2 linked regions of the Saccharomyces cerevisiae S288C genome follow. The main gene of each other region encodes a partner of the protein of the gene in region 2 in a complex. Each region holds a gene or a part of one and is shown on either strand. Other genes may lie near its edges. A codon is read from its position in the direction of its gene.

Region 1 (3,533 bases), on a different chromosome or scaffold from region 2:
ACAGCAAACCCTCATCACAATCACAAAATGACACACCAATGTTTAAATTGGGCAACTTTGAAAGTCCTGTGCTCAAGGAGCTATCACGGCGAACGGTAAACAAGGAAATGGAGACGCAGAGAATTATGACAAACGTAATTGCGTTTGCGTTCTGGAACCTGCTGGTGAAGTTCATCAAGTTCTTTTGGAACAACACTCATGTTGGGAGACAGTTTTGCAACCGGCTATCCAGAATCCATCTGTACATGTTGACATTTCACACGTTAAAGAAGGCTAACATCATATATCACACCACGTTCAGTTGGTTGAATGCAGAACTTCTTGACTACTTGTTCCACCTATTAATCTCGCTCAATATACTGTTTTCTCTTTGGAAGCTCTTATCCACCGTCAAAGTAAGTGATTTGAATCTCACTGACAGGCAAAAGAAGCTCCTGGGGGTAGACATGCAATCATCTGTCGATACTGGGTTGCAGCCACAACACCCCCACTACGTATCCACTTCTAAGATCAGCCAAATGGCACAGAACAAAACACATATTCCTCAAACAAATCTCAAAAATCATCCAGCATATCTCTTCAAAGGCTTAGAGACGCCTTTGAAAGCAAGACAAAGGGAAATGGCGGAGGAACAGACGAAACTACAATCTCAATCCTTACACACAAAGAATGTATTTGGCACACTGCAGAGGCATAGCGGTATCAGTAGCACATTAGTGAGCGCTAACAATGACAATAACTCGCCGCATACCCCTGTAACTAGGAAGGGCTACATTCCAAGTAGCAAATATGCATATATGATGAACTCACAGTCCCCAAGGGGGAAAATATAAAAACAGCAAAAAAACATTTAATACTTTCCATAGCTATATATGTTTTCTCTCCTATTTATATTTTACATATGATTAGCGGCAACCATTACCAATAGTTTGGAAATAAGTATCTTAGTCTTTCTAAGGTTTCCTTGGACATAGCCTCTGGTTTGGTAGAGATAGATTTCTTGATGGAACCGCGCAGCCCATCGCCAGTATGCATGAACTCTGGGATTTCCTTGGCCATTGAGACGATGATCTTAGAAGCTAAAATATTTGCATTGCGCCCATTATTCGTCAAATTACCAATAACGGTTTCTACGGTAACAGGTTCTGCCTCATCTCTCCATGCGTCGTAATCGGTAGACATACAAATCATCTGGTAAGGCAGCTCACACTCACGCGCCAATTTGGCTTCTGGAATAACACTCATGTTAATAACATGGCCACCAAACATTCTGTACATCTTGGATTCAGCGCGCGTGGAGAATTGTGGGCCTTCCATACACACAACGGTCATATCCTTGTCGTAATGCAAATGGCACGGTTCTTCGGATTCAGGATTTGTTATCTCGTTCTTGAATTGATAGATATACTCTGCGAATTTTTGAGAGAACGGCTGTCCGAAACCAACGTGACCTACCAAGCCTTCATCGTTGAAATATGAAGAATGTCTTATGCCTTTAGTTCTGTCGATTATTTGCTGTGGTAACACAAAATCTCTAGGCTTTATATGGGGTTGTAAAGACCCCACGGCACTAAAAGAAAGAACGGCTTTACAATTTAAGTTCTTTAAGGCCGCCATGTTTGCTCTAAATGGGACTTTAGTGGGTGGGTATTCGTGGTTAATACCGTGTCTGGCTATGAACGCAACGTGAAAGTGGCTGTTAGTTCCTACGAACTGAGAGATTGTGACAGGAGACGATGTGGTACCCCATGGTGTTACCATGGGTGGAAGCAAAGCGATGGGCTCCAGACAGTCAAGGTTATATAAACCTGTACCACCAATAATCCCTAAATCAACAGTTCCTTCGAATATGCTCGGTAATTCTGAGTTCGTCATAACTTTGCTTAGTTTTAATCTCTTAGCAACAGAAAATGTATTCTTAATCCTGTTCATTTAATCTCATCTCATCTCGAAATAGTTTTTTTTCATTCACACGTTCATCTTTTTTCATTTTTCTTTTTCTTTTTTTTGCTTTCTTTTCACATAATTGACAATAAAGGCGTCCTACAATAGAAGCCTTGGTATAACGTAAAAGCCACAGCAAGCATGGTGTACTTCATTTCCGACTCCATTTGCGTATAGACATGTTTCACAGACGCAAAAGACCTTATAACACCAGAAATTATGGCCATGATGACAAGAAATTCAAATCGCAGTACATCGATATTATGCCAGACTTCAGCCCTTCCGGTCTGTTAGAGCTGGAGTCGAATAACAAAGAAGGTATAGCTTTAAAACATGTGGAGCCGCAGGACGCTATTTCTCCAGATAACTACATGGATATGCTAGGACTGGAGGCGCGAGATAGGACTATGTATGAACTAGTGATATACAGAAAGAATGACAAGGATAAAGGACCGTGGAAAAGATACGATTTGAACGGCAGGAGCTGTTATTTAGTCGGTCGTGAACTGGGCCACAGTCTGGATACAGATCTCGACGATAGAACGGAGATCGTTGTCGCAGACATTGGTATACCCGAAGAAACATCCTCAAAGCAGCACTGCGTCATCCAGTTCAGGAACGTTCGTGGCATTTTGAAATGTTATGTAATGGATTTGGATTCGTCCAATGGGACATGTTTGAACAACGTTGTAATTCCTGGAGCGAGATATATAGAGCTACGAAGTGGTGACGTCCTTACACTTTCAGAATTTGAAGAAGATAACGATTACGAACTCATCTTCATGAATGTATAACCATATATAAGAAACACACTTTCAGTGTGTTTTAATTATTCTTCTTTGAATGCTGCTTTATTGCTGTAGGGCAATTTGCTCCAACTCATCGATTATATCCCATACTATGTCTTCAGCTATCTGTTCTTTGTACAATGTATCCAGTGTGTTAACTTTTGAATTCCCGTCAACACAGTAAGCTGATCGGATTTGATCGAGGTACTCCAATTTATCTTCTTCACTAATTATCCTCGCTGTTCCACCGTTAAAACAGCTGATTGTTGGATAGTAACCCAGTTTGTTATTATTTACGTATTTGTTTCTGAGTATCAATCCCTTCTTTTTCTTTTGTTGCTGCTTTTTCTTTTTGGCACTGGTTGTGTTTTTATCATTGGACTCATCACGAGCTTCACCATGTTGCCAATATCCAAGATAGAACTTTTCATTGTATTGTAACTCACTGAACGGTGGTAACAACGGCTTTAAATTTTCAAATGCTTTGCCTAGGTACTTACCATTTTGAAAGATAGCAAGATATGAATCCTCTAACTGGTAATAGTCTTGCCTTTCCCTCTTATCAGAAGAATAATATTCCGGTTTCGTTGTCTTTACATAGTCCGTTGCCTCAAAGAACAACTGGTTCTTATACCTGATGGCGATTTGATCGCGGACGACGTCGTTATATTCAATATCTTCTAATAGCGCCCTTTGAAATTCTTTGTTCGTTGTCTCTTGTTTTAATTTTTTCCTTGAAGGCCCATTCTCAGCATCTTCTCTCCATGGTTCATTCATCGTATCCATATGGGAGTTCAGTGC
Region 2 (3,135 bases):
GTTGGCTCCCCCTTTGCCTGCTGTTGATGGCTTTCAAGAACCTCCAATTCCCTCAGCACCTGCAATAGCTACTGCCGTGCAAAAATCGGGTTCTTCCACCCCAGCTTTAGCTGGAGGCGTTTTGCCTCCACCCCCACCTTTACCAACTCAACAAGCTTCCACTTCAGAACCTATTATCGCTCACGTTGATAACTACAATGGTGCTGAAAAAGGCACGGGCGCATATGGATCCGATTCTGATGATGACGTTTTATCGATTCCTGAATCAGTTGGTACAGATGAAGAGGAAGAAGGGGCACAACCAGTTTCTACTGCAGGTATCCCATCAATTCCACCTGCAGGTATTCCTCCACCCCCACCCCTTCCATGAAGATTTAATTTGCTTTCTATAGATACGTATGTATACTAATTTCTGAAAGGATGTAGAATTACAAATATGATATTGATTATTTTTTTCTAGGCTATATGAATATAAGATATGCGATGAAAGAAAAAATTATTTAATTTGGTTGGTCCTTTTTAGCCAAAATGAGTTTCTCAGCATTGTTCTTCGAAACTATATCTCGATCCAATTCTTCCTTTACAGCTTCATAGTATTTTTGTAAACTCCTTTTTGGCCTATAAAAAGTATGATCAATTTTGAGGGCTCTACCGCCAATTTTAAATCCATTTAAATTATCGACTGCTAGAATCGTTGACCGTTGATCCTCATATTTCAAATATGCAAAACCTTGCGATTCTCCTGTGTTTTCATCCCTGCTAAGAATTACATCTACAGGGACTCCATATTCAGAAAAGACTGTCAATATGTCACCTTCTGTTAATTCTCGGTTGAGATTTCCGATATATATATAAGCATTATCCTTATATTCATTATGCCATGATTGATGCGGGCTAAGAATTCCACTTTGTAGTTCTTTATCGTTGATTTGCTGAATTTTGTTCATTGTTATTTTGTTTATATTATCTATGTTCTTGATCTAGAATTGCACGCTGCACTTTTTGAGTTGTATGAGTAATTAATGTTCGGCCTATTTTTTTTTATCTGTATTAATCTCAAAAAATTCCTAAACCCAGAAAGGTAAAAGAGCTTATCATTTAAGTGTGGCATAATTCTCCAGCCATAACCACTTCCTTATCACATAAATTATCATTGTCACTGAGTTCAATCACTTCTTTATTGTTCTATTGTCTTTCTTTCAAGAATAGAATTATCAGTATTAGTGTGATCTTATATACATTATATTATATTGAATACAGATAATAAAAAAAAGTGAATTTTTGAATTTTTAATATACAAGAGATGATTGCTAACTTCATGTATGTCTCTTCTTTTTTGTAGCTTCTGCTACAAGTTCTTCAAAGATCTGTGCCTCTTCTTGTTCGACTTTGGTTCTGAAAGTTTTCTTAAAGACTTCACCCAATAGTTTCATTGCTTCAGCTCTTCTGATAAGCGTTTTCTTACTTACCGAGTCATCTTCTAGTACTTTTTTACAAACGCCACGTAAAGTGGATGTTATTTCATATTTAGAACCATGCCAAGCAGCCGACAATACTTTGCCCATCAATAGCTGCTCTTGCTGCGCCAGTTCCTCAGTGGTTGGCTTAATTTGCTCATTTCCGTCTTTGTCAAACAAAGGCTCATTATTCGTGCTAGCTTCTTTCATTTTTTCAAGCTCCTTCATAGTATTCTGAGCGTCTATGGCTGCCGAAACAGTTCTTAGTGTATCCATAAATACTCCCCCTTTAGCCTTCATAGAATGAAATATACCACCCATTCCGAACAGGTTCTGGGATGCAAGAAAAATTTCAGCTTTTTCGTAGTAAACGTCGCCTATTGTGTGTAATATGTCCAGACCAAATGATTCCATCTTTAAAAGATTGGCTTCCTCTTCGAACTTTTTTTTAAAGGAATCTTTACATGCATCATCATAGACACTTTCTGTTAATATCGATAATCTTTCAATCAATGTTTTGCTTAATTGGTCTACTCTTTTTTGCTTTTCTACCTCTTGTTCTTCCTCAAACTGCTCTAATTTTGTCTTCTTCTTCTTAGCTTCTGCTCCTACCTGCTCATTTTTCTTGTTTCCATCGTGTACAGTTAAATTACCAGAAGTTGTCCTCGCCTTATTTTTGTCATCTTTTTCGTTAGTATTGCCCAATGCTGCATCAACAGCGTTAGTGGTGCCATTCGTCTTACCGTCTGCAGGTGATTCTTCCATTGTTTCCACATTCTCCTTCTCCTTTTCAGCTTCGTCTTCAGCATTTAGCTCCTCAGTTTTCTGTAGGTTCTTTAATAGCATCAGTTCGCCAATATATGAGGCAAACGCATCTCCACCAAAGATGACAGAGAACTGTTCAGCTGCATCTTCAAAGCCGCCCTGAGGAATAGCTTCTTTTCTTCCATACTTATCATACTTTGCGCGAAGATCATCGTCACCTAAAACTTGATAAGCTTCGGATATTGCTTGAAACCTTTCGGTAGCCGTGGGGTCATTGGGATTCTTATCAGGATGCTCTTGAATAGATTTCTTTCTATAGGCCTTTTTTATTTCAATGGAAGATGCAGTGGTAGACACACCTAACAAATCGTAATACTCAGTATCAACAACCATATCTTTTGTATAATGCCCCTTCTGGCCGCAAGAAACACTTAATGATTTAGCATAACTCTGTTATTCCTCTTGTAAATCTGCCAATTTGTTCAGTACGCTCTGCTTCAAAATAGCACAAAATTCAGGGTGTGCGGGTAAAAAAAAAAAAAGTCGAAGAAATATATATATATATATATAGAATAAAATCTAGTTTTTATGCCATTATTATTAATAACACCTCTAGTTTGCTCGTCATTCACATATTTCTCTCTTGATACATACTATAGAGTTTATTCATACATATTATTTATAAGATTCTAAAGGGAGTGAAAAGACGCTTCTTCTGAATGTAAGGCAGAATCAACGTCTTCGTAGCCACCTGAGAGTTCTCTTTCCATATCAACCTCCATTTGGTCCTCCATCTGCTGTTCCTGTATTTCTGTCGTATCGTTTTGATCTCTGTTGGCGATGGCCTCCGATGGGGACAGAGATTCCTCACTTATGGCTTTTCTATTACCTACGGCGTTCGTCTGTGGCAACT

Evidence for each region.
Region 1: the proteins of IST3 (region 2) and PML1 are in contact, whole or in part, in an NMR structure (PDB 2MY3), measured with the Saccharomyces cerevisiae proteins. Residues at the interface, in NP_012270.1 of Saccharomyces cerevisiae: Asn39 (codon at 833), Glu41 (codon at 827), Leu42 (codon at 824), Thr43 (codon at 821), Glu44 (codon at 818), Gly45 (codon at 815), Asp46 (codon at 812), Leu48 (codon at 806), Val50 (codon at 800), Val60 (codon at 770), Arg64 (codon at 758), Asp65 (codon at 755), Glu66 (codon at 752), Asn67 (codon at 749), Lys96 (codon at 662), Ile97 (codon at 659), Gly98 (codon at 656), Gly99 (codon at 653), Lys117 (codon at 599), Tyr118 (codon at 596), Ala121 (codon at 587), Val122 (codon at 584), Glu125 (codon at 575); in NP_013116.1 of Saccharomyces cerevisiae: Ser23 (codon at 2,190), Tyr25 (codon at 2,196), Ile26 (codon at 2,199), Asp27 (codon at 2,202), Ile28 (codon at 2,205), Met29 (codon at 2,208), Pro30 (codon at 2,211), Asp31 (codon at 2,214), Phe32 (codon at 2,217), Ser33 (codon at 2,220), Pro34 (codon at 2,223), Ser35 (codon at 2,226), Gly36 (codon at 2,229), Leu37 (codon at 2,232), Leu38 (codon at 2,235), Glu41 (codon at 2,244).

The regions. Positions count from the first base shown.
Region 1 is NC_001144.5:176,007-179,539, reverse strand, and holds PML1 (Pml1p), read left to right. Parts: upstream 1-2,123; coding exon 2,124-2,738; downstream 2,739-3,533. Other genes in the region: POM34 (Pom34p), read left to right, coding at 1-833; MEU1 (S-methyl-5-thioadenosine phosphorylase), read right to left, coding at 919-1,932; BRE2 (Bre2p), read right to left, coding at 2,796-3,533. UniProt on the Saccharomyces cerevisiae protein: Required for efficient splicing and pre-mRNA nuclear retention.
Region 2 is NC_001141.2:362,701-365,835, reverse strand, and holds IST3 (U2 snRNP complex subunit IST3), read right to left. Parts: upstream 948-3,135; coding exon 501-947; downstream 1-500. Other genes in the region: actin cytoskeleton-regulatory complex protein PAN1, read left to right, coding at 1-370; DJP1 (Djp1p), read right to left, coding at 1,317-2,615; AIM21 (Aim21p), read right to left, coding at 2,912-3,135. UniProt on the Saccharomyces cerevisiae protein: Required for pre-mRNA splicing and spliceosome assembly. As part of the pre-mRNA retention and splicing (RES) complex, required for nuclear pre-mRNA retention and efficient splicing. Required for MER1-activated splicing.